Anolis sagrei: one gene and its partners. The protein of the gene in region 1 interacts with the protein of each later gene in a pairwise test. Links are inferred from orthologs where the notes say so. Each region holds a gene or a part of one and is shown on either strand. Other genes may lie near its edges. The genes, in order: LONRF1, EFHC2, KCTD9 and TRIM42.

Region 1 (7,569 bases):
GCAAGCATCCTCAGAGGTATTGAGGTCTGTTGGAACTAGGAAAAAGGGTTTATATATTTGTGGAATGACCAGGGTGGGACAAAGAACTCTTGCCTGCTAGAGCTAGGTGTGAATGTTTCAACTGACCACCTTGATTAGCATTTGATGGCCTGGCAGTGCCTGGGGCAATCTTTTGTTGAGAGGGGATTAGATGTCCTTGTTTATTTCCTCTCTGTTGTTTTGCTGTTGTATTTTAGAGTTTTTTTAATACTGGTAGCCAGATTTTGTTCATTTTCATGGTTTTCTCCTTTCTGTTGAAATTATCCACATGCTTGTGGATTTCAATGGCTTCTCTGTGTAGTCTGACATGGTGGTTATTAGAGTGGTCCAGCATTTCTGTGTTCTCAAATAAAATGCCATGTCCAGGTTGGTTCATCAGGTGCTCTGCTATGGTTGACTTTCCTGGTTGAAGTAGTCTGCAGTGCCGTTCATGTTCCTTGATTTGTGTTTGGGCAATGCTGTGTTTGGTGGTCCCTATGTAGACTTGTCCACAGCTGCATGGTATACGGTAGGCTCCCACAGAAGTGAGAGGATCCCTCTTGTCCTTTGCTGAACGTAGCATTTGTTAGATTTTCTTGGTGGGTCTGTAGGTAATTTGTATGTTGTGTCCTAGTCATCCGTAAACCAGATCAACAATTGGGTCACACCGTTCACAGAAAACCCACACACACAGATAGATATCTACATAAAAACTCCAACCACCACCCAGGTCAAAAAAGAAGCTCCATTAAAGCTTTGGCAGACCGTGCAAAAAGAATCTGCGAACCCCACCTCCTCCAAGATGAACTGAACCACCTAAACTGGCTTCTACAGGCCAATGGATACTCCACCTCAGACATCAGAAGAGCTGCAAGACCGAGAACAAGCCATGAAACTAAAGACAAAGATTTACCCAGAGAAAAAGTGTTCTTGCCATACATCAAGAACCACATAGGGAAGCTGATGAGGAAACACAACATACAAACTATCTACAGACCCACTAAGAAAATTTAACAAATGCTACATTCAGCAAAGGACAAGAGGGATCCTCTTACCTTCACACTTGCCTTCAACAGATAAGAGTTCTTTGTCCCATCCTGGACATTCCAGATATATAAACCCCCTTTCGTAGTTCCAACAGACCTCACTACCTCTTGAGGATGCTTGCCATAGATGCAGGCAAAAAGTCAGGAGAATGCCTCTAGAACAGTGTTTCTCAACCTGGGGATCGGGACCCCTGGGAGGGTCACGAAGGTGTGTCAGAGGGGTTGCCAAAGACCATCAGAAAATATAGTATTTTTTGTTGGTCATGGGGGTTCTGTGTGGGAACTTTGGCCCACTTATTTATTTATTTATTTACTTTGCTATCATTGGTGGGGTTCAGGATGCTCCTTGATTGAAGGTGAACTATAAATCCCAGCAAGTACAACTCCCAAATATCAAAGTCTATTTTCCCCAAACCCTTCACATTTGGGTATATTGAGTATCCGTGCCAACTTTGGTCCAAATCCATCATTGTTTGAGTCCACAGTGCTCTCTGGATGTAGGTGAACTACAACTCCCAAACTCAACGTCAATGTCCAACAAACCCTTCCAGTATTTTCTATTGGTCCTGGGAGTTCTGTGTGCCAACTTTGGTTCAATTCCATTGTTGGTGGGGTTCAGAATGCTCTTTGTTTGCAGGTTAACTGTAAATCCCAGCAGCTACAACTCCAAAATGACAAAATCAATCCCCCTCTGCCAACCCCACTGGTATTCAAATTTGGGCATACCGGGTATTTGTGCCAAATTTGCTCCAGTGAATGAATGTACAACCTGCAGATTATTATTTACATGGCGATTCATAATGTTAGAGTTATGGTTGGGGGTCACCACAACATGAGGAACTGTATTAAGGGGTGGCGGCATTAGGAAGGTTGAGAACCATTGCTCTCTAGAACATGGCCATATAGCCCCCCAAAAAATCCACAACAACCCAGTGATTCCGGCCATGAAAGCCTTCGACAAAGATTATGATTATGATTCTGGATGGAGCCTGGGTGGTGCGAGGGTTGGCTGCAGCGCGAATGGCCCTTCCCGGCGTCTTACCTTCGGCGAGGCCGCGGCTGGCGGCGTGCAGGGCTTCCCGGGGCCGCCCTTGTGCCAGGAGCTGCCCGAGGCGCCGCCAGGCCCGCGCCCTCTCGCACTCGGCCGGGAACCACTTCTCGCCCAGGTGGCGGAGAGCCACGGTGACGGAGGCGGGAAGCAACCCCAGAGGCTCCCCGCAACGGCGGCACCGGGCGCGGAGCTCCTCGCTCAGGCAGCGGCGGCAGGAGCTGTGCCCGCAGGGAGCCGTCACGGGCTCGCTCAAGAACCCGCGGCAGCCCGAGCAGCGGAAGAGCCCTTCTTCTTCTTCTTCCTCCTCCTCCTCCCGCTTCTCTTCAGGCGGCGGGGCTGTTTCTTTGGCTTCCGCGGCCTCCTCCTGCTCCTCTCCCTCCTCCTCCTTCTGCCGGAGACGGTAATGGAGCACCAAACAGTCCACCAAAGTGCTGAGGCGGCGGCGGCAACTCGGCATAGGCGGCGGGCCCAGGCGCAGCGCCGCCGAGTAGGCCTCCAGCGCTTCTTTCAGGTGGTGGCCTAACGCCAGGCGCTCTCCTCGTCGAAGGAGCCGCTCCTGCTCCGACGGGACGCCGGGCTCTGAGGGAACTTCCATCGAAGGAGACGCCATGAGACCTTCCTCCTCTCAGGGAAAGGGGGCGTGTGGCACGCGACGACGACGCCGCTCGAGACGCTCCTTCCAAACTCCCAACTCTGTCTGAGTGGAGCTGGGCGCGCCTGCGCACTCCTGTCAAACAACCCCTCCCCCCGCCCCTTGTGGGACAATTCTTCAACCGCCCCTGCGCGCGCACGGCAAGCTCCGCCCACTCGCCTCTCCCTCGTTGCCACTTTTCTCACAGAGCAGGTAAGCTCTCTCAACACAGATCCCCTCTCCCTCGCCACCTCCCCCCTCCCTTTCGCCGGCGCGCGAGACAATCCCGAGCGAGGCCACAGGCTTACATAAAACCACACGTCATCCACCCCTTTCCCGCGCAAGCTGGCCTCCGATTGGCTAGACGGAGTAAGGGGCGTGGCGGGCGAAATTATAAAACAAGGCCACGTGGCCCAAGGTTTGGTTGGCTGCCTGGCTTTTGTTGTTCTTCCCAATTTAATGAGAATCATAATCTGGGTTGCTGTAGGTTTTTTCGGGTTATATGCCCATGGTCTACAGCAGTGGTTCTCAACCTGGGGTACCCAGCTGTTTTTGGCCTTCAACTCCCAGAAATCCTAATAGCTGGTAAACTGGTTGGGATTTCTGGGAGTTGTAGGCCAAAAACATCTGGGGACCCCAGGTTGAGAACCACTGGTCTAGAGGCATTCTCTCCTGACGTTTTGCCTGCATCTATGGCAAGCATCCTCAGAGGTAGTGAGGTCTGTTGGAACTAGGAAAAGGGGTTTATATATCTGTGGAATGACCAGGGTGGGACAAAGGACTCTTGTCTGCGGGAGCTAGGTGTGAATGTTTCAACTGACCACCTTGAATAATAATAATAATAACAACAACAACACTTTATTTGTACCCCGCCACCATCTCCCCAAGGGACTCGGTGCGGCTTACATGAGGCCGAGCCCAAATACAACAATACAAGCAATAATAACAACAATACAAGCAAATTAAAATAAACATGGACAATACAATCATAGAATCAAGAATCAAAGAGTTGGAAGAGACCTCATGGGCCATCCAGTCCAACCCCCTGCCAAGAAGCAGGAATATTGCATTCAAATCACCCCTGACAGTGCAACATTAACAATAAGACCACACGATTAAAAACTATGGGAAGGCCAAATGTAAAATTAAAATTCGAAGTAATGCTGGAACATGGGCAAAAAAGTGATGGGGTGTTTGTGGAAAACATACAAGCAGACCTAAAAAGTAAAGTTCTTTGGAGGACAAAGTGCTATGGGATCATTATTCTGGGAAGGCACACTGGAACAGCCATGTCTTCAAGCTCCTCCTAAAGACTGCCAGAGTTGGAGTCTGACTGATGTCTTTAGAAAGTGAATTCCAGAGTCGGGGGCCACCACCGAAAAGGCCCTCTCTCTCATCCCCACCAATCATGCCTGCGATGCAGGTGGGATCGTGAGCAGGGCCTTTCCAGATGAACCAAGAGATCGTGTGGGTTCGTATACAGAGATGCGGTCATGCAGGTAGGCGGGTCCCAAACCGTTCAGGGCTTTGTAGGTAAGAACCTGCACCTTGAATTGGGTCCGGAAAATGAATGGCAACCTTGAAATCCATAAGCATGTGGACAATTTCAACAGAAAGGAGGAAACCATGAAAATGAATAAAATCTGGCTACCAGTATTAAAAAAAACTCTAAAATTGCAACAGCAAAACAATAGAGGAAACAATCTGGGACATCTAATCACCTCTCAACAAAAGATTGCTCCAGGCACTAACAAGCCACACCAAACAACAGCCAGGCCATCAAATGCTAATCAAGGTGGTCAGCTGAAACATTCACACCTAGCTCCAGCAGACAAGAGTCCTTTGTCCCACCCTGGTCATTCCACAGATATATAAACCCTTTTTCCTAGTTCCAACAGACCTCTGAGATCTGAGGATGCTTGCCATAGTTGCAGGTGAAACGTCAGAAGAGAATGCCTCTAGAACATGGCTATACAGCCCGAAAAAACCTACAGCAACCCAGTGATTCCGGCCATGAAAGCCTTCGACATTATTATTATTATTATTATTAATAATAATAATAATAATAATAACACTTTATTTGTACCCCGCTACTATCTCCCCAAGGGACTCGGTGCGGCTTACATGAGGTCGAGCCCAAATACAACAATACAAGCAATTAAAATAAAACATGGACAATACAATAATGCAACATTAACAATAAGACCACACGATTAAAAACTATGGGAAGGCCAAATGTAAAATTAAAATTGAAAGTAATGCTGGAACATGGGTGAAAAAGTGATGGGGCGTTTGTGGAAAACATACAAGCAGACCTAAAAAATGTAAAGTGCTTTGGAGGACAAAGTGCTACACAGAATCATAATCCATTTTAGGTATTACCTCTCCTGATGGCTCAAGGCGGGGTATATATGGAATATGTGCAATCGACATCTGCAATGATCCAGTCTACGAGTTTGGATCATGTGGTTTTAATGTTTTTTATTAAGTGTTCTTAATTTTTATACTTCATGTTAAACAGATGGCTGGATGGCCATCTGTCAGGGGTGCTTTGAATGCGGTTTATTTGCTTCTTGGAAGGGCGTTGGACAGGATGACCCACGAGGTCTCTTCTAACTATGATTCTCTGTCCCATTCTCTTATGATGGAATTGTCCTATTTATTTTATTTTATTTGTTTCATATACTTATACCCCGCCCTTCTCACCCCCCGAGGGGCGACTCAGGGCGGCCTCACAGCAAACGCCATTTGGTGCCATCATAATGATATGAACAATCAACAAATTCATTAAAACAAAGCATTAAACAGTTGTTAAAACACGCCAATTAAAATCTGGGTCCAGGTTAGGGTTAGGGACACAAAGGGACAGAAGGAAAACTTTCTAAACGGAAAAACACACCAAATGGAAGTTGTAAGACATTAAAGGGAAAAAGAAAGACCAGGTGATAGACGGCTGACAAATGCAATAGCCTTAGATGTAACAAAGGAAGAAAGATCAAACAACAAAACATACCAAATGGAGCATTAAAGGAAAGGAAGAAAGTTCACATAGGTCTCATGAAGTCCAAATGGTATTTGATGGATTGAATGACCTTTAATCAGGAAACTGGGGAAATTACTCACTTTAATTGTTTTGGTAAACACCAGATCAAAGTACCATATGGAACAGGAACAAAGGGAAAGAGAAATGTGAAGGGAAATATATGAAAGTGTGGAACATACTTGCAAATCCTATAAAAGCCTCATGCATGATTCGTTTAGTGTGGGACCTGTTTTTCACTGCTACCATCAGACCTTCTTGCAAATAAAATCGATTGTATTTCCATCTCCTCGCTTCTCAGTCTCATTGGCAACAGGTCCTGGAGGTTTCAGGTTTGCCTTTTAAAGGGGCAATGCAACTAGGCTCAAAAAATATATTAATACTAGCTGTACCCCCCCCCCCCCCGCACGCGCTGCTGTGGCCAACCTTCCCTCTTTCTCTTCTTTCTTTCTCTCCTTCCTTCCCTCCCTCTTTCCAACCCTTTCTTTCTTTCTTTCTTTCTTTCTTTCTTTCTCTCCTTCCTTCTCTTCTTCTTCCCTCCCCCCCACTTTTTCTTTCCCCTCCTCTTTTTCCCCTTTCTTCCTTCTCTACCTATTCTTGGATTGCAACTCCCAGCAGTCCTCCTGATCAATCTACCTACCTACCTACCTATCTCTATCTTATCTATCTATCTATCTGGAGGATTGCTGGGAGTTTATTTATTTATTTACTATATTTATAGCGCGCCTTTCTCAGCCATATGGCAACTCAAGGCGGGTTACAGATTGGTACAATTCAATGTCAGGCATTTATAAAAGTGCCATTAAAAACAATCAACATTACAATATAAAACATATATAAGAACCGTTAAAGCATATAATCATTGGTGTCATCCAGCTAAAAACGTTATCCAGTAACATTGTCTGGCCATTCCATGTTCATCATTCATAGTTCTGTGTTATCTATTTCGCTGCATTCTCAAAAAGCTTGCTCAAAGAGCCAGGTCTTTACTTTTTTTCAGAAAGTCAGGAGGGAGGGGGCCGATTTAATATCCCTGGGGAGGGAGTTCCATAGCCGGTGGGCCACCACGTAGAAGGCCCTGTCTTTCGTCTCTGCCAATCACACTTGCGAGGCAGACAGAATCGAGAGCAGGGCCTCCCCAGACGATCTTAAGTTCCTAGATGGTTCATAGGAGGAGATACGTTTGAACAGGTAATCTGGGCCAGAATCATTTAGTGCTTTATAGGCTAAAGCCAGCACTTTGAATTATGCTCGGTGGCAAATTAGCAGACAGTGGAGCTGACACAACAGAGGCGTAGTGTGGAGAGTTGCAGTCCAGGACTAGGAAATTGGAAATAGGCAGGGAATGGGATGCTCTCAAAGAAATCCAAGGAGAATAAATAAATACACTCCATTTAGGGGAGAAATGAAATACTCAGTACTTGACAGCAGTAGATTAAAAAAGGAGCTGGGGTTTTAATAGATTAGAAGCCAAACATGAGTGATAGATCACAAGCTAAACATCAGCGTGACAGCTAAAACCAGTAAAGTTTTAGGATGGATCTGCACACTGTCCTATATCCCATGATCCAAACCCAGATTATCTGCTTTGAACTGGATTATATGATGCACCTACACTGTCCTTATATCCATGGATCTGATCCCAGGTTATAAACCATGAACTGGATTATATAAATCCCCACTGCCATATAATCTGGAATAAGCAGATAATCTGGGATCACATTGTGGGATATAGGGCAGAGTAGAATCCAGCCTTAGGCCCCTTCCACACAGCTGTATACAA
Region 2 (7,923 bases), on another chromosome or scaffold:
TATTAAGGCAGAAAATCCCACAATATCTGCTTTAAACTGGGTTATCTGAGTCCATACTGCCATATAGTCCAGTTCAAATCAGATGTGGGATTTTATGCCTCAATATTCTGGGATATAGGGCTGAGTGGAAAGGCCCAAAGTCTTTAGCCAATAGCCATTTCTACCTGGTGATGGTGCCTCACCAAATTACAGGATTCCCTAGCATTGAACTATGGCAGTGAAAGTAGGGTCAGTATGCATTCAATCTACAGTATAGATGCACCCAGAGGCATCCTGGTGCCTAAAGAAGGAACTGTTGATGGAATGTAACATTTTCTGACCTTTGCCTTATTCCCCACATGATCAAAAAAGAGAAAGGACCTCTGCCTGTACTGAGACCCCTCCAGACCACTGGTTTCCAGCCTGTGGTTCGTGGACCACCTGTGGTCTGCAAGAACCGTCACTGTTGCAACAAAAGCGACTGGTCTCGCAAAACCCTCTTATAGTGCTGAGGCAACAGGGATGTTGGAAGGGGAGACTACCCAGGAAAGGCACAACTGCTGCTTCAACTCCTCCTCCCTCTTCCTAAGCGGAGCTGTTCCGTGTGGTGCCTGGAAGCAGGGATGCCTTGGTGTCTTCATTTTAGGCCTGTTCCTGAGGTTATTTGGGGTGCTGATTCAGAATATTGCATTGGATAGACCACATCAGCTCTAGATTATTAAATATGGTTTTCTGTGGGCAAGCAGATGACAACTACTGGATGGTGTATGTTCTGTATCAGAAACTAGAGCTGATGTGGTCAATCTCATACGATTTTCCGAATCAGCAACCCAAAGAACCAAATCAAATATAAAGCTGGCCAAAACCTGATTTGTAACCCTTTTGGTACTAATATTGGAGAGTAGTCCCTGGTCAAAGTGGTCCCTGGTCAAGAAAAAGGTTGGGAATCACTGTTCCAATTGAACAACAGAAACGTTATCAGATGCAAAAGGTTTGCCTGTGACTCCAACATCACCTCTTTTTCTTTTATTCTTCGGTATGATTGTTTTGAATCCCTTTTGCTTGGTATTTATTTATTTATCATGTCAGGAGCAAACCAAACAGTTGTATTGCATTTTAAACTAACTAACAAACAAACACAAAGTTTGCAAGCTTGGTAGTTGATTAAATGTCCTTTTTGCCTGGTGAAGATGCCTTGATTTGGCCAGGGTGGTCCATGCCTTAGTCACCTCCAGATTGGATTACTGTAATGCGCTCTACATGGGGCTGCCCTTGAAAACGGCCCGGAAATTTCAGTTGGTCCATCAGGCGGAGGCCAGATTGTTAACTGGTGCTTGTGGGTTTTTTCGGGCTATATGGCCATGTTCTAGAGGCATTTCTCCTGACGTTTCGCCTGCATCTATGGCAAGTATCCTCAGAGGTGAGGTCTGAGGATGCTGACCTCACCTCTGAGGATGCTTGCCATAGATGCAGGCGAAATGTCAGGAGAAATGCCTCTAGAACATGGCCATATAGCCAGAAAAAACCCACAAGAATTGAGTGATTCTAGCCATGAAAGCCTTCGACAATACATTGTTAACTGGTGTTCTTTTCAGGGAGCGGTCAACCCTCCTGTTTAAGGAGCTCCGCTGGCTGCCATTTATTTCCCGGTCCCAATTCAAGGTGCAAGTTCTTACCTACAAAGCCCTGAACGGTTTGGGACCCGCCTACCTGAGTGACCGCATTTTTGTTTACGAACCCACATGATCTCTTCGTTCATCTGGAGAGGCCCTGCTTGCGCTCTCACCTCCATCGTAGGCGAGATTGGTGGGGACGAGGGAGAGGGCCTTCTCAGTGGTGGCCCCTTGACTTTGGAACTCACTTCCCAAGGACATCAGGCATGCCCCAACTCTGGCAGTCTTTAGGAGGAGCCTGAAAACATGGTTGTTCCAGTGTGCCTTCCCAGAATAATGAACTCTCAGCATTGTGCCCTCTAAATGCACTTTTCATTGATTTAGGATTGTTTGTACGCTCTCACCAACGCCCAATCTCTCCTATCTTGTTCATGCCTAGCATTATTTTTAACTTTAATTACATTTGGCCCAGCCATAGATTTTAAATGTGTGTTGTATTACTGTCATTGTAGACTGCTTTTTGTTGATGAGTTTTATTTAATTGTTTTGTTGTTGTTGTTGTTGCTTGTATTGATGTATTGTGGGCTCGGCCTAATGTAAGCCGCACCGAGTCCCTTGGGGAGATGGTAGCGGGGTACAAATAAAGTTTATTATTATTGAAAGCTTGCATTAAGTATTTTGTGCATTTTGTCAATAAAGGCATCCCTTTCTGTAGATTCTGTTTTCCAGTCAGCTCTCCATATCCACAGATTCTGCATTCTTGGATTCCATCATCCATGGTTTGTATATTTTAAAAACAGAAACTAATAGCAAGCCATACATTCTTCCCTTTCATATAAGGCATATCAATTTAATGATGCTGAATACCAAGGGCAGATACCAGGGGCCCAGTGTATTTTTCTGCATGAGGAGCACAGCTACCTTTGAATGTGTGTCCTAAATGTGGAGAAAGGGGGTAGTCATGAACGATGTTGGCCTAATTGGTTCAAAGGCACCAAATGCAGCCTGATCTCCAAAGCTAAGCAGGGCCAGCCCTGGTTGATGCTTGGATGGGAGACCACCAACGAACACCACGTGCTGTGGGGCTAATTTTCAGAGGGAGGGCCTGGCCAAGCCCCTCCTGGCCCAAGAGAACTCTCTGAAGCCCAGGAACGGAGAGGCGACCTGAAAGGGAGAGAAGGAGAAGGGCAGGAACCTGGGCCCCCTCCCCGGGAGAGCAGGGCGGCAGCGCGAGCGAGCGCGCGAGGCCACTTACATTCCTGTTGAAGGAGTTCCCGGGCAGAAGCGGGAGCGCCATGGCGGCACGCCTGCTGCCGACCGGGGCTGGCTGGTGTTTCTCGCCCGAACCCGCTGGGCCCGCAAGGCGCGCCCGGGGCCTGTTTGGAGCCCCGTTGCCAGGCAACCGCCGCCCGACGTCACAGAGGACGGCCCGGGAAGGGGCGTTCCTGCCCTCTGCTGCTCCCTGCAGTCACGTGGCCCTCACTGCACGCCGCGCCGGCTTTCCAGAAAGCAAGGCAGCCCATTGGAACTTCACCTGAGTGGAGGAGCTGGATCAGAAGCTCTACATGACAGCTGCAGGGAGAGAGCACCATCCCACTGGCATTTAGACCAGACATGGGCACACTTCCTCCCTCCAGGTGTTTTGGACTACAACTCCCACAATTCCTAACAGCCAGTAGGCTGTTAGGAATTGTGGGAGTTGTAGTCCAAAACACCTGGAGGGAGGAAGTTTGCCCATGCCTGATTTAGACCCTCTGCCCTACTTACTACAATTCGATCTAGTTCAAAGTAGTTACCTTTAATTAGACCTAGCCCCCTTCTACACTGCCATATAAAATCCAGATTATTTGCTTTGAACTAGATCAGGGGTCCTCAAACGTTTTAAACAGAGGGCCAGGTCACAGTCCCTCAAACTGTTGGAGGGCTGGATTATAATTTGGGGGAAAAAAACACTAATGAATACATATTTTATTTGTAGTGCAAAAGACACTTAAAAACAATACAATAATTAAAATGATGAACAATTTTAACAAATATAAACTTATTAGTATTTCAGTGAGAAGTATGGGCCTACTTTTGGCTGATGAGATAGGATTGGTGTTGTTGTTGTTGTTGTTGTATGCTTTCAAGTCATTTCAAACTTTGGTTGACCCTGAGCAAGGGCTGTGTCAATGACCTTGGAGGGCCACATCCAGCCACCGGGCCTTAGTTTGAGGACCCCTGAACTAGATTATATGTTAGTATAAGCTAAGGGTCTTTCCACACAGCCCTTTATCCCAGGATATCAAGGCAGAAAATCCCACATTATCTGAGTATGGACCTCGGCCCCTTCCACACGGTTGAATAAAATTCCACATTATCTGCTTTGAATCAGAATATATGGCAGTGTGGGCTCGGATAACCCAGTTCAAAGCAGATATTGTGGATTATCTGCCTTGTGAGGTCACAACCGCTGAGGATGCCTGCCGTAGATGTGGGCGAAACGCCAGGAGAAAATGCTTCTGGGACATAGTCATACAGTCGGGAAAACTCACAGCAAGCCACCAATTCTTTTTGGTTTTCCTAAGCAAAAGACATAGTGAATGGAATGGTTTTAAATACAAATCTATGTTTAACAATCCCCTCTCCTTCCTCATCCTTGGATGAGGCAACACCAGAAGCACTCCAAGCGGCCAGATACTGGTCAAAGGACATTTAATCAACTACCAAGTTTGCAAAATTTTTGTTTTTTTATCTGTTTGTCTGTTTTGTTCTGTTGGAAATGTAATACAATGGTCTGGTTGCTGATGACACGATAAATAAAATAAATCCTTGGAAGTACATTAGACTTATGGATACACCTAACTTACTAACTCCATAACTAACCTATTATACTTTCCTTGGCCTCCCCCTCCCCCCCCTCCCCGCCCCTTCTTATGGTATAAAAGTGTGAAAATTGGTTAATGAACACTGGAATGGAACAATGGATGACGAATCTGGAACATGTTTTTGATGGCGAGACGACAGTGAATGGGTATTGTAGTAACTGTTTATTAATTGTGTAATGTGTTAGGTTGTTAACTGTTTCTATACTGTAGCACTGAATTTTTGCTGTTCGTATTTGTTGTGAACCGCTGTGAGTCGCCTTCGGGCTGAGAACAGCGGTATATAAGTAAGGTAAATAAATAAATAAATAAAATGAAAAACAACCAGTCCACACTGCCATATATTCCAGTTCAAAGCAGATATGATGGGATTTTCTGCCTTGATATTCTGGGATATAGGGCTGTGTGGAAGGGCCCCCAGATAATCCAGTTCAAAGCAGATACCGGGGATGATCTGTTTTGATAATCTGGATTATATGGCAGTGTAGAAGGGGCCCTAGTTACTATAATTAGTTCCAGTTCAAAGGAATTGATTTCAGTTAGACTTTGGCCCTTCTACACTGTCATATAATCCAGACAATCAAAGCAGAAAATCCACATTGTCTTCTTTGAACTGGATTATATGAATCTACACTGCCATATAATCCAGTTCAAAGCAGATAATCTCGATTTTACATGGCAGCATAGAAGGGGTCATTGGGCCCTTCCACACAGCTTTATAACCCAGAATATCTGCTTTGAACTGGGTTATCTGAGTCCACACTGCCATATATTCCAGTTCAAAGCAAATAATGTGGGATTTTATTTGGCTGTGTAGAAGAGACCATCGTTACTGCATTGAGATCCAGGGCCTTTCCACACAGCCATATAACTGAGAATGTCAAAACAGATAATCCCACAATATCTGCTTTGAACTGGGTTATCTGTATCCACACTGCCATATATCCCAGGTCAAAGCAGATAATGTGGGATTTTATACAGCTGTTAGGAAGGGGCCCCAGTTTTAAAGAATTGGTTTCATTATTGTTATTAATAATGAAACCAATTAATCTAGAATTATATATAGATTCAGTGTTAGACACTGAGCTAAATTATAGTGTATTGTAATTGAAGCAAATGCCAACTCTGTCTCTTTTTGTTGTGCCAAAAATATTTAAAGTAATTATATAGTTACAAGTGGCCTCACTCAATGGGATGGAGGCGTGTCACAGTGTTTCAGAGCCAGCTCATCCTTTGCAATGTGGGAACAGAGACCAATGGAGTGAGGTGCCCCTTCCCGCCAAAGAACCATGCTATTTACCTTGAGAGAAAATACAAAACTTGTAACTATGACAACAACTGACTACTTCAAGGACCTTGGACCTATTGTTGTTGTGTGCCTTGAAAAGTCATTTTCAACTGATGGTGACCCTAACACAAGATTTTCCTGGCAACCTTTGTAAGGGGGAGGGGGGGTGTTTTCCTCTGCAGCTCTCTCATACCATAGTCCCAGAACCAGGATTATCTGGAAGCACCATTTCATACCATGCACTACTTAAATTATAAAATTTCCTACCATGAGGCTTTGATGACTTTAAGAAGACATTCGAGTAACACTGATAATGGCTGTTTTATTATCTCCAGCATTAGAGACATGATACCCCAGTGGTGCAGTCGGTTAAACCACTGAGTTGCTGGGTTTGTGGATAAAGGCACTATGTCCAGTTCTACTTCAGATTGAATTGTTACAAGATCTTTGTTTCCTTTCCATCTGGGTACACTTGTGGGTTTTGCTTTGTTTTATGTTATTGCCTCTGTACGTACTGTTTGTATAATAAGGACAACATTTCAGGTACTTGATGAAATAGAATGTGACCTACCAAAGTTTCTACCATAGTAAATCCACAAAACCAGCCTTAAAAAGACCTCTTGGTGCCATAACCTAATTGCTGGACAGTTCTGCCAAACTTTGAACATGTAAAAAGGAAAGCTCGCTGTCATCAAGTTGTCTTCAGATATTTCCCAGATATTCTCAATTCTGAATCAAGTTAGACCTTAGGACAAACTTGCCCAACATAACAAACTTTAAGTACTGATGGAGTTTTTCAGGGTTAACCTGGCATGACTTGAGTAGTAGTTCACCCATAACTTTAAGCATTTTGTACAATTAAAAATGACTTTTTTCAAATAACCCAGGCAACACTGGGTACCCAAACTAGTTCAAAATAAAAATGTGTTCTCTTTTCTGTCAGAAGAAAGAAAGGATGTACAGTTTTGTTAATTTAGTAACAAAATTACAACTGAGATTGTAAACGTCATAATTGCAACAATTAACATATTGCAAAAACATGTTATTCGTTCAGGCCCATATGCTTCCTTTTCCCTTCGTGATTTGAATGTAAAGAAAAAGAATACAGAACTTCTAAAGATCTGAGGTTATGCAAACCATTTGCCCCCCCCCCCCCCTTCTTTTCCTCTATGAGATTGCTTTTACTGGAAAAGTAGGTTATGTCAGACTGTAAGACATTGGGACGTGAAGCCTGACTCAGTAGTCATGTTTGATCCATTGTACTGGATCAAATCCAATATTTAACTAGCGGACAAAATGCTAATCATGGCTTATGCCTCTCTTTACTGGCTGTCATTTTTCATTTAACTTAGTAACCTACAAGCAAACAGTGGCCAACTCTGTTTTACTAATGAACGGAAGGCATGCCTTCTGCTGTTTTTGATGTCCTCAGCTATAGTTGGTATGATTCATGTACTATATAAGAGCAAAGCTTGAAACTGTTACTTTACACAGGAATTTTACGAGCATGAAGATGAACCAGTGGAAAAACCCTGGGACCTGATTTTCCATGATAAATTAAATAATATAGTTTTTGATATTGGAAATTCCATAACCTATTGGAAATAAGTGCACCATAACCTCGACTCTGGAATTCACTCCCCAGAGATATTAGGCAAGCTCCCACCCTGAATTTTTTTAGGGAGAGCCTGAAAACATGGCTGTGCAATGACTGAATGTATGATAATCCCTGACCAAACTCTGCATAAAATGTCCTCAGAAGCACGTTATTCTCTGGTTTGTGCAATGAAATCCTACTGTATCCCCCAGATCCCTTTCCTGATATTTTACACTGCCCTATCTCCCAGTGTTTTAAAATTTTAATCTTTGAATTTGGCCCTGCCCACTTTGATTATTTTTAGTGTTTTAATGTTTTGATTCCATATTGTTGTGTTGCCTATTTACATTGGTTTTGTATTTTGTTATTTTATTTTCTGATTTTATGTTGTGTTTTTGCGTTATATTGTGTTTTCTGTATTGATGGGTGTGGCCTCATGTAAGCTGCCCCGAGTCTCCTTGGGGAGATAGTGGCGGGGTATAAATAACGTTATTATTATTATTATTATTATTATTATTATTATTATTATTGAAAAGGTAAAAAAATGATGTCACACCCGTTTGGCAAATGTGAATCTCCATG
Region 3 (7,730 bases), on another chromosome or scaffold:
AGACCCAAAATTTTCAGTTAACACTGTTGATGCAGTGAATGTTAATGTAACAGAAGCTTAAGATAAAAGGTGGCCAATGTAATAATAAGGTATTTTACAACCCAAACCAAAGAAGAAGACTGTTTGGCCCTCCAGATTGTTATACTATACTTGAAATCCCATTTTCCTTCACCACTGGCTATATTGGATTAAAAATCTCTAAAATCAGGACAGTAAATAAAGAACAACACTCAGAAACAGGGGAATTCCAGACAAGAAACCATCAAGGCAAGCTAATCACCTTCCAACAGTATCTGGAGGCGATTGGAGTAAACTAGGGGTGACGCAGATATCTGAAGTAGCTTGGGATTGTGTAATAGCTGGTCTATTTTAACCTTCATTTTTAATTTTTGTGGTATGAAATTTTATCTTTACCTTCCAACAAAGGATCCCCCCAGGCAGGAAGGAACCAGGCTTTGAAACTGCAAGGCCATTTAATGCTAATCAAGGTGATCAATTGCAACATTCACACTTGCCTCCAACAGATAACAGTTCTTTTTCCAACCTTTGAAATTGTTCCATAGATATATAAACCTCACTTGCCTAGTTTCCATCAGGCCTCACAACCTGAGGATTCCTGCACTAGATATGGATGAAACATCAGGAGAGAATGCTTCTGGAACATGGCCATACAGCCCAGAAAACTTACAACTCAACATTATGTGGCTTACTCACACATGCCTCCAAAATCATTCATGGCTACCCCTTAAACCGTGGTTCTCAACCTTCCTAATGCCACAGCCTTTTTTTAATACAGTTCATTATGTTGTGTTGACCTCCAACCATAACATTATTTTTGTTGCTACGACATAACTGTCATTTTGCTACTGTTATGAACTGTAATGTAAATATCTGATATGCAGGATGTATTTTCATTCACTGGACCAAACTTGGTATAAATACCCGATACGCCCAAAGTTGAATACTGGTGGGGATTGATTTTGTCATTTGGGAGTTGTAATTGCAGAAATACCTGATACACCCAAATTTGACAGACCACCTGTCTGTCCTGTTTTTTCCTTTCTTTTTGTTGTCTTGCTTTCACATTTGCTGACAGAAATCTAGAGGTGTGTTTGCGTGTGTGTGTGTTTTTGTCATTTGGTAGTTGATAGGATTTATAATTCATCTACAATCAAAGAGCATTCTGAGCTCTACCAATGATGGAATTGAACCACTCTTGGCACAAAGAACTCCCATGACCAACAGAAAATACTGGAAGGGTTTGGTGAGCATTGACCTTGAGTTTTAAATAAATATTTGTTTATTTATTTAAAAGTTTTATATACCGAGCTTCTCACCTCATAAGACGGACTCAGCCCGGTTTCCAACCATAAAAACACATACAATCGGTAAAATATCAAAATACACATTGCAATAAAACATTTAAAAAGCACATATATTTAAAACTACAGTGGTCAGTCGTCATACTAAAATCGAATATACACCGTCTTCCATGCAGATCATTGTTTCATTCTTCGAAAGCCTGCCTCCATAACCACGACTTCACCTGTTTCCTGAATGTCAGGATTGTTGGGGCAGTTCTAACCTCTGACGGGAGAGAGTTCCAGAGTTGCCGGGCCACTACCGAGAAGGCCCTGTCCCTCGTCCCCACCAGCCACGCATGTGAAGTCGGCAGGACCGAGAGCAGGGCCCCTCCAGACGATCTTAGTAATCTTGATGGTTTGTAGGGGAGAATACATTCAGAGAGGTAAACCGGGCCGGAGTCGTTTAGGGCTTTATAGGTTAACACCAGCACTTTGAATTGTGCTCAGAAACTAATTGGCAGCTAGTGGAGCTGGTGTAACAGCGGAGTGGTGTGCTCCCTATACCCAGCACCCGTTAGTAATCTGGCTGCCGCACGTTGTACTTGCTGCAGCTTCCGGGTAGTCTTCAGAGGCAACCCCACGTAGAAAGCGTTGCAGTAGTCTAAACAGGATGTAACCAAAGCGTGGAATACCGTGACCAAGTCAGCCTTCCCAAGATACGGGCGCAGCTGGCGCACAAGTTTTAGTTGTGCAAATTCATCCAGAGAGCACTGTGGACTCAAACAATGATGGATCTGAACCAAACTTTCATGGATACTCAATATGTCCAAATGTGAACACTGGCGGAGTTTGGGGAAAATAGACTTTACATTTAGGAGTTGTAGTTGCTGGGATTTATAATTCACCTACAATCAAAAAGCATTCTGAACTCCACCAATGATGGAAATGAACCAAACTTGGCATATAGAACTCCCATGACCAACAGAAAATACTGGATGGGTTTGGTGGGCATTGACCTTGAGTTTTGGAGTTATAGTTCATCTACATCCAGAGAGCATTGAGGACTCAAAAATGGATCTGGACCAAATTTGGTACTAATAATCAATATGCCCAAATGTGAACACTGGTGGAGTTTGGGTAAAATAGATCTTGACATTTGAGAGCTGTAGTTGCTGGGATTTATAGTTCACCTACAATCAGAGCATTCTGAACCTCACCAACGATAGAATTGGGCCAAACTTCCCACACAGAACGACCAACAGAAAATAATGTTTTCTAATCATCTTTGACAACTCCTTCAGGTCCCCCAGGTTGGGAAACACTGCCTTAAACACACACGACACAGACTGCCATATGATTTCTTTAAAGTATTGTCGAAGGCTTTCATGGCCGGAATCACTGGGTTGTTGTAGGTTTTCTCGGGCTGTATGGCCATGTTCTAGAGGCATTCCCTCCTGATGCTTCGCCTGCATCTATGGCAAACATCCTCAGAGGTTGTGAGGTCTGTTGGAACTAGGAAAACAGGTTTATATATCTGTGGAATGACCAGGATGGGACAAAGAACTCTTGTCTGTTGGAGCTAGGTGTGAATGTTTCAACTGACCACCGTGATTAGCACATAATGGTCTGACAGTGCCTAGAGCAAACTTTTGTTGAGAGGTGATTAGATGTCCTTGTTTGTTTCCTCTGTTGTTGTGCTGTTGTAATTTTAGTTTTTTAGTACTGGTACCCAGATTTTGTTCATTTTCATGGTTTCCTCCTTTCTGTTAAAATTGTCCACATGCTTGTGCATTTCAATGTCTTCTCTGTGTAGCTTGACATGGTGGTTGTGAGAGTGGTCCAGCACTTCTGTGTTCTCAAATAATCTGCTGTGTCCAGGCTGGTTCATCAGGTGCTCTGCTATGGCTGACTTCTCTGGTTGAAGTAGTCTGCAGTGCCTTTCATGTTCCTTGATTCGTGTCTGGGCAATTTCAACAATTTCAACAGAAAGGAGGAAACCATCAAAATGAACAAAATCTGGCTACCAGTATTAAAAAAACTCAAAAATTACAACAGCACAACAGCAGAGAGGAAACAAACAAGGACATCTAATCACCTCTCAACAAAAGATTGCTCCAGGCACTGTCTGGCCATTATATGCTAATCAAGGTGGTCAATTGAAACATTATGGAGCCCCCGGTGGCGCAGTGGGTTAAACCCCTGTGCCGGCAGGGCTGAAGACCGACATGTCGCAGGTTTGAATCCGGGGAGAGGCGGATGAGCTCCCTCTATCAGCTCCAACTCCTAATGCGGGGACATGAGAGAAGCCTCCCAAAAGGGTGATAAAAACATCAAAAATCATGCAGGCGTCCCCTGGGCAACATCCTTGCAGACGGCCAATTTTCTCACAACAGGAGTCACTCCTGACACGACCAAAAAAAAAAAAACCTGGTACATTCACACCTAGCTCCAGCAGACAAGAGTCCTTTGTCCCACCCTGGTCATTCCACAGATATATAAACCCTTTTTCCTAGTTCCAACAGACCTCACTACCTCTGAGGATGCTTGCCATAGATGCAGGTGAAACGTCAGGAGAGAATGCCTCTAGACCATGGCCATATAGCCCGGAAAAAACCTACAACAACCCAGATTTCTTGGAACATTACCTTCCGTTTGTTTTGTAAACGACTCCGGGGTAATGCCAAAATCAGCTGCTTTCAAGGTAGAGAAATCTAGCGGCGTCGCGGGGCTTTCAAGGCCTGGTTTTGGTCCTAATCCACTCTTGCGAGGGGTCCAATAAGTGGGCCTTTCCACGGCGTTGGGGCCCTTCGGGGAGGCGCCTGTCTGCTGTGTAGACACACTTGCCATTGTGGCCTTTAGCCGCCAACAACAACAACAGGCCTCATTAAAGCTTCTTCAACACAAACACCTTCTCCCTTCACTCGCCTCAGAGCGACTGCCTTTTCCTCGCGCTTTCCATTCAAACAAGCCTCTTCCCTCGCGATGCAATTACGTATCCCTCCGCCTTTTCTCCAATAAGACTCTTTGTTATTCTTATTCCCGACTTCCCTTGAATTCTGGCCAGTTTTGTGTCTCACGTGACCAAAACTCTCCCACGTCTTTCCTCCAATGAGAAGAGGCACCGCCCACATCCCAGGGACTACTTTTCAAGGAGAGCCGGCCACGCGGAAGCGTCGACATCGTTAACCGACAAACGACCGTTGGTAATTCAACGTCATAGGATCAACAACCAATCAGAAGCGGCGCTCCTCTTCCCTATGCAAAGTAGCCCCTCCCTCAGCTGGAAAAACATTGCGCTCTGATAGGCTCCCGCTGGAGCTGTTCTAAGGCGAAAGTCCCGCCTACAATGTGCATCGCAGTTCCTATTGGGCGAAGGAGAACGAGGCTTGCTGCGGATTGGTGAATAGGCTGAGTCAGGGAAAGAACTTCGGCTTCCGGGTTTGCAACCCAGGCGGGGAAGAGCATGTCACTCTGAGGGAAGAAGGAGAAGAGATGAAGAGAGTCACCCTGTTTGTGAATGGCAGCCCCAGGAATGGGAAGGTGAGCTCAACAAGAACTGCGGGTGATGGCTCTGCTTTCAGGAATGTTATCTGCTAATGGCATGGTTAATCCTGACTTTCCTCCTCCTAAGGTGGCAGGCACGAGTCTCCCTCACTTCACAACAGCCCTGTGAGGAAGGCCCAGGTCTCAAGGAATGGCAAGGTCATCCAATGGAGACCTCAACCCTTTTCCTCTCTCAACTTTCATTCCTGTATCACCAGTATACAATATAATAATACTAATAATAATAATACAATATAGTCATGTATATTTACATTACATGTAATATTACTAATATTACAGTATAGTGGTATAGTACGATATAGATACACCACACCTCACTACCTCTGAGGATGCTTGCCATAGATGCAGGCAAAACGTCAGGAGAAAATGCCTCTAAACAACCATTGTTGTTGTTGTTCATTTGTTCAGTCGTCTCCGACTCTTCGTGACCTCATGGACCAGTCCACGCCAGAGCTCCCTGTTGGCCGTCACCACCCCCAGCTCCTTCAAGGTCAGTCCAGTCACTTCAAGGATGCCATTCATCCATCTTGCCCTTGGTCGGCCCCTCTTCCTTTTGCCTTCCACTTTCCCCAGCATCATTGTCTTCTCTAAGCTTTGCTGTCTCCTCATGATGTAGCCAAAGGACTTCAGCTTTGTCTCTAGTCTCCTTCCCTCCAATGAGCAGTCGGGCTTTCTTTCCTGGAGGATGGACTGGTTGGATCTTCTCGCAGTCCAAGACACTCTCAGGACTTTCCTCCAACACCACAGCTCAAAAGCATCTCTCTTCCTTGGCTCAGCCTTCCCTACGGTCCAGCTCTCACATCCGTAGGTGACTACAGGGAAGACCATGGCTTTGACTAGGCGGATCTTTGTTGCCAGTGTGATGTCTCTACTCTTTACTATTTTGTCGAGACTGGACATTGCTCTCCTCCCAAGAAGGAAGCGTCTTCTGATTTCCTGGCCACAGTCTGCATCTGCAGTCATCTTTGCACCTAGAAATACAAAGTCTGTCACGGCCTCCACGTTTTCTCCCTCTATTTCCCAGTTGTCAATCATTCTTGTTGCCATAATCTTGGTTTTTTTGATGTTTAGCTGCAACTCGGCTTTTGTGCTTTCTTCTTTCACCTTGATTAGAAGGCTCCTCAGCTCCTCCTCGCTTTCGGCCATCAGAGTGGTGTCATCTGCATATCTGAGGTTGTTAATGTTTCTTCCAGCAATTTTCACCCCAGCTTTGCATTCCTCAAGCCCCGCACATCCTCGCATGATGTGTTCTGCATACAAGTTAAAAAGGTTGGGTGAGAGGATGTAGCCTTGCCGTATGCCTTTCCCAATCTAGAATCAGTCTGTCGTTCTGTGGTCAGTTCTTACTGTTGCGACTCGTTCCTTGTACAGATTCCTCAGGAGAGACACAAGGTGGCTTGGTATGCCCATCCCACCAAGAACTTGCCACAATTTATTATGATCCACACACTATATATGCACACAGATATATATACACACGCATATATGCATATACACACAAAGCACATACACAGAAAGGGGGAAGGAAGGAGAGAAGGAAGGAAAGAAAGAAGGGTAGAGAAGGAGGGATAGAGGGAGAGAAGAAGAGAAGGAAGGAAGGAAAGAATGGTAGAGAGAGAAGGAGGGAGAGAAAGAAGGAGAGAAGGAAAGAAAGGTAGAGAAGGAAGGAAGGAGAGAAGGAAATAAAAAAGTAAAAGAGAAGGAAGGCGAGAAGGAACAAAAGAGAGAAAGAGGAAGGAAAGGAAGGAAGGAAAGAGACAAGGATGGAACCAAAGAGCAAAGGAAGTGAGAAAAGAAACAGGTAGAGAAGGAAGAAAGAAGAAGGGAAAGAAAAGGAGAGAGGGAGGGAGGGAAGGAAGAAAGGAGAGAAAGAGGGAGAGAAGGTCGGCCACAGAAACATGTGGCGGGTACAGCTAGTATATAAATAAAAATGTAATGTTCCTTTGTGGGATTAACATAATTTGGATACAATACGCCTATCAGGCCAACGAGTGACTATCATAAAAACACTGAAAAACACAGAAGAAGGGACTTAAAAAGCAAAAATGCTATACCACATGCGCAAAAATGACTCCCCTGGCAAACAAAATGCACAATAGCCACATTCTCTTCTGGACTACAGTTCCCAGCATCCCCTAGACCAGGCCCTTTAGGAGAGGAGGATGATCCAAATGCACTGCTTCCAGGTTGCAAGCTTTCTTCTCCTTGGATTTCTTTGAGAGCATCCCAATCCCTGCATATTTCCAATTTCCTATTCCTGGACTACAACTCCCAGCAATCCTCCAGATAGATAGATTAGATAGAGCTAGATAGGTAGGTAGATAGATCAATCAATCAGGAGGAGTGCTGGGAGTTGCAGTCCAAGAATAGGTTGAGAAGGAAGAAAGGAGAGAAAGAGGAATTGAAAAAAAAGGTGGGCGGGGCAGAAGAAAGTGAAGAAGAAGAGACAGAAACAAAAAAGGGAGGGAAGGAAGGAGAGAAAGAAAGAAGAGAAAGTGGGAGGGAAGGTTGGCCACAGCAACACGTGGCAGGTACAGCTAGTAGTAATATATAGCATTAATATTGTGCTGTGCTAATAATATAATATATTGTATACACATATAAATGTTATAGTGTAATACAATATAATGCCAATAGTAATACAAGATAATGTTATATTTCATATTACATATAATATTACTAATAATATTACAATATAGTCGTATAGTACAATATAGTAATATATAATACTAATATTGTGGTATGCTAATAATATAATGTAATGTATGTACATACAACTTGTAAGCCGCTTTGAGTCCTCTTCTGAGTGAGGGTAGCATATAAATATTGTAAGTAAATAAATATAACTATACTGCCTCGGTC
Region 4 (7,868 bases), on another chromosome or scaffold:
GAAAAATACCATACAAGTTTTCAGAACAGAATTATTTTTTAAAAGTCAAATTATTGGTGAATGAAGGAGATAGTTTTCTTTACTAGTTGTACAAGTAAAAACTGGTCTAGAATATGACTTCTTAAACTGTGGATCACAACCCCAAATAAGATCCCTTTAACTCAATGTTGGTGTCGTCAAAAACTGGCAACAGTAATAATTTTCTGACTGCCATTTAGTTACTGTTTTAGAAATTTACACAAATTTGTCCAGCATTTACAATGGACTCTACATAAGATGCTTCATTAAAAACTGTTTAAAGGTAAAGGTTTTCCCCTGACATTAAGTCCAATGCTCATCTCCATTTCTAAACTGAAGAGCCAGCATTATCTGTAGACACCTCCTAGGTCATGTGGCCGGCATGACTGCATGGAGCACTGTTACTTTCCCACCGGAGCGGTACCTATTGATCTACTCACATTTGCATGTTTTTGAACTGCTAGGTTGGCAGAAGCTGGGGCTAACAGTGGAAGCTCATGCTGCTCCCCAGATTCAAACCTGTGACCTTTTGTCAGCGAGTTCAGCACCTCAGTGCTTTAACTCACTGCACCACCAGGGGCAGCAAGCCTTAAAAATGCCTCTAGAACATGGCCATATAGCCTGAAAAAACCTACAACAACCCACTTAAAAATGATGTTGTGTTATCCATATATGTTTGATATTTTTACCTATTTTATATACTTATATACCCAGGATCATGTAAAATTGTCTTGGGCCAAAAGGGGTCCGAAGTTGAAAAATTTAATAATAGCAACAATAAAAATATCTTTATTTATATCCCACCCCATCTCCCCAAAGAAGTCCTAGTCTAGAGTTCATATATCAGCTGTAGAACATAGAAAAATTACTTGGTTGAATGGTGAATCCCTGAGCTAGTATGGAGATGCGGGGAGCTTCCATCCAATGCAGTAACTTTTCCAAGCTTTGATGAGGTCAGAGCTTGTCAACAATATGATGAAGCTGTTATTGATATAAATGGGTTTGGTCCTGGACCAACAGATCCCAAATAACATAAAATCTGACTTGTTTATTGTGCATTGTGTGAGTTAATAAAAAAATAGATAGGGGAACTCTAAAAAATGGAGGTTAACTTTGACCTGTGGAGTTCAGGTAATACCTACAACTAATTTCTCAAGCAGAGAAAGAGGGTTAACATTAAGTTGCCTAAAGCATCCAGTAAGTTGAAATGAAATGGGCTTAGGTTTCCATCTTTTAAGTACTATTCAGCACTGCCACTGGCAACTGTTCTTAAGTCTTGGTTTGCCATGGTTTAAAACTGAGAATTGTAAAAAGTGGGTTAAACCAAGTAATCTATTTTCTAAAAGTGAATGGAGACAGTAATAAAGGATCATATCAAGCACTTCACTACAAAATAGGTTTTGCTGAATAAACCTGATTACTGTCTTCATGAACTGGGAAGGCAGAAAAATCCCTCTTCAAAAGTTTCCTTCAGTTAAAAGTTGTGTGGATTTTTTTTTAAAAAATATAAAACATCCATGACTGGGATCAGGATTATTGAATTTTATAATCTTATCATTCACTCACATCTCATTTTATGTAAGTGGCCCTCAATTTCACTAATATATTTTTAATTTTGACATTGATTTTGAATATGTATATTTGTTAGCAAAGTGTAGCCTCCCCAACATCCAATTTTATGAAAAACAGTGTGTGTGCTTTACATCTTGGTCCTGTCCTCTCCTTATCATTCTTTCCATGTATAGAAGCAATTAGCATTTCTTTAATCCTGGGGCATTCTGGGATTTAGAGCTCAAAAAGCTGACTATCCCATTCCCAGGCTCTGAATGTATACTAAATCCTTCTGAAGAAGTTATTTTGTCCATGCTCATATGTAAATTCCATTTTGCATGCTGTATGCCTCAAGTTCAGTCCACAGCAACTCCAGATTGGTTTTGATTTCAAATCGAATGCCTAATGATGGTAAAGACTCAGAGGTGTAACAAAATGACTCTGTGCGTATGCAAAATTGAGACATTGCCTCCCACTAAGAATTCTGCCCCTTCATGAAAATTTCCACTGTAGTTGTGTGTGCACTGGACCATGACTCTGAAGACTGGAGATCAATTTCCCTCTTAGCCATAGAAACTCACTGAGTGGCTTTGGATGAGCCAGACACTCAATCTCAAAAAAAGTTGATAAGTTAACTTTAGGTCACCATAAGACAAAAATGACTTGAAGGCACAACAAAATAAATTCCAGCCATGCAATAAGTTAGACACTGAAATTGTTTGAGCCTAGAATCCTTATATTTGCTGTGTTTGCATTCCCTGGTTAACTTTGGCTGCCCCTTTCCTTTGAATGCCTAAACTCCATTACTAAATACTGAACTAAAGTTTTAATTACCAATACTAGAAGTTTGAAAACTGAAGGAATTTTTATGGAGGGAGCAATGCCTTCACACACACACACACACACACACACACCTCACTCCAAAAGGTCATTTACTTGAAACATTTGAGATGTGCTGTCAGTCAGATAGTCATTACTGGGGTTGATGGAGTAACACCCTGATGTAAGTGTACAAGTACAGGACTGTGATCCTTAACATTTTAGTTTTACAACACTTACCTTTTCAGTTTATGTTTACGCCTATATGGCAAATAGGAGAGATAACTGCAGCATCTACTGTCATAACACTGACACTCAGTATTTGCATCTGTACAGCACAAACACTTGCAATTTCGATTAGTAGAACAGGAGCAACAGCAACAGCGGCAATTCGGATTCTCCGAGCATGAACAGTGGCAGCACTGGCACCTTGAATCTTCACGATGTGGGCAAAAACAGCAGTCCCACTGCCGCTCATCACTAAATAAGAACAGCCAACAAGAGCAGCATCTGCCAGAGGTTATATTATTCACAAAGTCTCGAAACTTGATGCAGAATCCACAACATTTACAACCTGGGCAACATGGGCATGTCCAGCAACATGCACAGCTCATGGCAGTCATGGTCTTCCCAGATATTTAAGGTTTCCCTTTTTTTAGTCCTAGAAAGCTTTACTTGCTGTTTATGTTTGCAGAGCAACTGCCCCATACTTTATTTTGGACCTCTGGAGAAAATACTGATCACTTGGGAAGAAAATGTGGCATCACAATGGGTTTTACCAATGAAAGCAGTGTCATAATGTATGTCATAATGACTAAAGCACTTGAGATTCCTGCACTGATATGTTCATATGACTAAACTGCACAAGAAATAATGCAATGAGGATCATTGTATTACTCTGATAAAAATTGCACTTTCTCTGGTCAACAGGATGATGTCAGCATGGAATCTTAAAATGACATGATTTATGTAAATACATTAATTTTGGCTATCATTTGATTTAGTATTCTCTATTGTTTTGCCAATGTTTTGTTATTATAAAAGAAACAGAAATATTAGAGCTATAAATACTCTACTTCTGAGCCAATCAGAAATTAAAGTAAAGTCATGATTCTGAGGATGAGGGCATGTTCATTCTGGGTAACAGTGCATGTGATCACTAGACTGAGAGACAAAATATCACATTTACTGGAAACATTAAAATACAATAAGAACTCAGTATTGTATTGCTGCTCTAACTATTTCTTATGTGCCAACACAATGTCTCCTCTTGTCTTACAAAATACATGTCTAGGCAATCTCAATTGTCTACGCTGGCTCCACAGAGTCGTCTTTGGATACTTACAGTGGGTTACAGTTATTGTTTTGGGTGAAAACTGGATTGATTAACATTTCTTTTTCTTTATAACTGATACTGATATAATGAATTATATTTCTCTGGCTACCAGGCATAAGACATTATCAGTCATTCCAACCAAAAAGACAGTCTTTGTGAGTGCTTCAGGAATTGCTGCATAATACTACTGCATTTAACATGCAACTGATATTTCCGTTACAGATGCTACTCATAAACTGGTTTGTGAGCTTCTGATGAGATCATTTGGTAATTAGAGCTGGGTTTCTGGGTGTTGTCTGAATTATTTCTGAACAATATACAAGTATCAAATTAATACTAAAAGACTGGAAAATATGTCCATCTAGCAGGACTTCTAGGAAACAATAACCCATGGAAATTAAGAGACTAAAGTGGACTAAAAGGCTCCATTTTCTATATTTTCATCTGTGAAGACTAAGGTTACTACCCCTGATAGTATCCCTGAAATCTCAGGTCCAGAACCTGAGAGTTACTGATGACATCATGTTGATGTCACAGGACACAGGGACTGGTGATATCATTATGCATGATATATCAAGCATCAACAGCAGTAGAAGAACAGAACATGCAATTCATTTTGAAAAATGGTCTAACAAATGAAGAAAATACAAACACACACCTGTTTAACCCCAAGATTCCTTCCCCTCAATCTCATATCTAGAAAAGAGTCGCCGAATTAGGCTGAAAAATGCGGTATAAAAATAAAGCAAATAAATAAATAAATAAATAAAGAGTAAATAAGCTTTAAGATATGGAAACCCTAATAAGGTCACCTAGCTATTGCTTCCAAGCTTTCTAGAATAGAAGCTGTCTTCTTGCAGTGTGGATCTGAGGAATACCTTTAGTACATGCATTAATTAACTTTACCAATGGCATCTGAAAACAAAGTACAGGTTAAAAATATAATAACAGAGCAAACTAAAACACTGTTTAAAAACCTTATTCTCTCTTATTTTGGGGCCATGGGCCTATTAACAGTTGAGTGAGACTTTGTGTTAAATTTTATTGGCTGAATCATCTTTAGGGCTAGATTTATGCTGCTCTGTATCCCAGGATCTGAACCCAAGTTATATGATTTGAACTGGATTATATGAATCTACACTGCCAGATAATCTGGGATAAGCAGATAATCAGGGATCTGATTATGCTAATATAATGCTATTTTTGTTCCCATGCCTAGCAATAGAACGAAGCAATTGCTTACCATCAAACAGTGATGGGGGGAGCACATTTTCCTAATGTCATCCAGCAAAGATTTGAAAAGAAATTTGGGGTCTACTATGATGCTTGCAAGATAGGATATTTGGAAATATGCTGGAACCCAGGATTTGGGAGAGGTTTCTAACCTATCATTGTTCATATTTTATGATCTAGGAAGGTACTATAATTACTTTTTTTAATGTCAGGAGCAACTTGAGAAACTGCAAGTAACTTCTGGTGTGAGAGAATTGGCTGCCTGCAAGGATGTCGCCCAATGGACATCCAGATGTTTTGCCATCCTGTGGGAGGCTCCTCTCATGTCCCTGCATGAGAAGCTGGAGTTACAGATAGGAGCTCACCCCACTCCCCAGATTCAAACCACCAACCTTTCAGTCAGCAGTTCTGCCGGCTCAAGGTTTAACCCATTGCACCACCAGGGCTCCACTATAATTACTGAATATTGATCAATTGACTTGTCCTGAAGATTTATTGATCCTATTTTGTTGAATGTGAACGAAGCAATTTTTGCAGAACACAGGGCAGGCTAATTATCTTCCAGCTGTTTTGACCCAAGCTGCTTAGAAACCAGCTTATTGCTGCTGCCTCACAGCCTCTCTCATCTGAGGTAACTCTCTGTAGAGCCAGTCCTGATTTTGAATTCAAATGTTCTCAGATTGAATCCTTGACATTTCCAACTGAAGGAGAGAATGGTGCAAATAACCTAATCTCCTGAAAGCATTTGGAGCCACTGCCAGGGAAAATAAGCCATTTTTGTTCTGAGCCTAAATCTAAAAGGACAAAGTCAATAATTGATTTCCCACTTATCCCCAAGATACAGATAAAAGTTCACATGGGAAAAATGTGTTTGTTGTGTGCCTTCATGTCATTTGTAGCTTATGGCAACCATAAAATGAAGCCAATGGGTTTCCATGACCATGCAGGGATGTGCATTCTTGTCTCCAGAATCATAGTCCAATGCTTAAACAATTACACAATTCTGGATCTCAGGGAAAAATTGATGAAATATTTTGAGAAAGAACACTGCTTAAATTGTAGGGTTTTTTCCCCCAAACATATGACATTATCCCATTTTGTTTCACATTTTTCATTTTTTGCTCCTAAAAATATATTTTCGCTTATCTTATTTTGTCTTTTCTGAGAGATAGATTATGGGGAACTATTTTGGATAGGCAATAAAATAATCTGACCTGGAATCAAGCAGTTTCCCATGGATTGTTTATGGTGGTTCCATACATAAAGCAACTATCAAGATTTTCTGGCAAACTAGGCAGCAAATTACATCCATCCTCCTTTCTGTAAGCTTTGAGTACCACTAATTAAAAATGAACACTAGAATCCTAACTGATCAACTTAAGAATAAACTTATAGAACCTATCTTGTGTATATATGGCTGGAGTTACACTTACAATATGTACCTGTTCTGACTTACATACAAATTCAACTTAAGAATAAACTATCTTGTTTGTAACTTGAGTCTATCTTGTTTGTAACTTGAGGACTGCCTGTATCTAGCTACATTACAGGGATCTTAAGAAATCCCTTTATTGAATAGGAAATATGTCTAACAGGACACCAATAAGAGTGTATCTGTGGTGCCCAATGTGCATAGAGACTGATGCAATGTGTGCTGGGATATGCAATCCACATCCCATTGTGCATAATCTCATTGCACATCCATTACTTTGCTCATTCTATTACATAGTAACATAACATCTGTTCACTCTATTTCATTGTAACAAAACAGCAGCTTTGGATGATGATGATGATGATGATGATGATGATGATGATGATGATGATGATGATGATAGATTTCAGAACAGTTCAGTATTAATTCCCACAGATGTAACTCCACTTATAAAAATGGAAGGTCCCAACAGGCTTCTGGCTGAAAGCTTTTGAATGTGAGGTTGATGGATCCATGCAATTTTTCACATATCCCTAAAGAGTCAGGAGATTACCCCACCTTAGCCCACTAGGATTACGACATCACAGCCTTTGTGAACAAATATGGTCCTTTAATATAAGGACAGTGACAGCAAAATTTTCTGGCAAACTAAGCAGAAAAAATATATCCATTCTCATCAGAGATTATATTAAGTTTGGATACCACTAATTAAAAATAAATACCAGAATCCTAAATGACCTGTTAAGTTATGTAACTTTATATGTCAGCCAGTGCCATTTTAATTCTTTCTCTCTTTTTTGGCAATTAGTAAGTGTTGTTTAAGTACTGGTATGCTGGTTGTCTTCTTCAATCTTGAATCTTGAAAATATTCTCAAAGCTTTATCACATTCTGGAAGTTCATGGGGTGTGATAATTCTGAACATGCCTACCTGATATGTATGTACAAGAGATTCATCCATTCATAATCAGCATAAATGGAGTATGGAAGCTTTATTTGACTTTGTGCATTGCCATTAGTAGCTATCTATCATCTCCACATTTATATTTTTACAAATTATATGTTCACATGAGGCACTCATAGCCAATAGGCTTTTGTTTCAAAAGATATCTTTTTGTTTGCATAGTATTTCTATTAAGTTTTTTATCTCTTTCCTTTGGAAAAATGGGGCAAGACAAAAAATTGAGTTCTGGCTCCAAATTATGGTTATATGAGTAATCAGCCACCTTGACAGAAAGAGAGAATTTTCTTTTGTTTTCTTTGGTCAAGTTGTTGTTGGCTGAGTGTGATTCCAAAGAAGTGCTTTTTTGTGTCACCTACTCCATTTTTAAACTCATGAAATTACTTGTTTCAGTTTCACTTTCCTATGTGACGCAGGTTTGCTACTAGAATGGGGGAAAAACATAACACCGGAAGACTGCTTTTGTTATAGAGGAGACATGGTTTTTAAAAGGGAATTTTCAGATATATTCCCAATGCCC

The links.
Region 2: the proteins of LONRF1 (region 1) and EFHC2 interact in binary tests that used the Homo sapiens proteins (3 or more experiments, as listed by UniProt). The two-hybrid records come from large-scale screens. The link is inferred for Anolis sagrei from reciprocal best matches to the Homo sapiens genes LONRF1 and EFHC2.
Region 3: the proteins of LONRF1 (region 1) and KCTD9 interact in binary tests that used the Homo sapiens proteins (3 or more experiments, as listed by UniProt). The two-hybrid records come from large-scale screens. The link is inferred for Anolis sagrei from reciprocal best matches to the Homo sapiens genes LONRF1 and KCTD9.
Region 4: the proteins of LONRF1 (region 1) and TRIM42 interact in binary tests that used the Homo sapiens proteins (3 or more experiments, as listed by UniProt). The two-hybrid records come from large-scale screens. The link is inferred for Anolis sagrei from reciprocal best matches to the Homo sapiens genes LONRF1 and TRIM42.

Annotation. Positions count from the first base shown.
Region 1 is NC_090025.1:73,032,601-73,040,169, reverse strand, and holds the start of LONRF1 (LON peptidase N-terminal domain and RING finger protein 1), read right to left. Parts: upstream 3,019-7,569; 5' UTR 2,726-3,018; coding exon 2,107-2,725; intron 1-2,106.
Region 2 is NC_090023.1:77,049,200-77,057,122, reverse strand, and holds the start of EFHC2 (EF-hand domain-containing family member C2), read right to left. Parts: upstream 3,008-7,923; 5' UTR 2,890-3,007; coding exon 2,848-2,889; intron 1-2,847. UniProt on the Homo sapiens protein: Microtubule inner protein (MIP) part of the dynein-decorated doublet microtubules (DMTs) in cilia axoneme, which is required for motile cilia beating.
Region 3 is NC_090027.1:6,177,946-6,185,675, reverse strand, and holds the start of KCTD9 (BTB/POZ domain-containing protein KCTD9), read left to right. Parts: upstream 1-4,720; 5' UTR 4,721-4,796; coding exon 4,797-4,844; intron 4,845-7,730. Other genes in the region: CDCA2 (cell division cycle-associated protein 2), read right to left, coding at 3,950-4,151. UniProt on the Homo sapiens protein: Substrate-specific adapter of a BCR (BTB-CUL3-RBX1) E3 ubiquitin-protein ligase complex, which mediates the ubiquitination of target proteins, leading to their degradation by the proteasome.
Region 4 is NC_090023.1:230,542,615-230,550,482, reverse strand, and holds the start of TRIM42 (tripartite motif-containing protein 42), read right to left. Parts: upstream 3,012-7,868; coding exon 2,629-3,011; intron 1-2,628.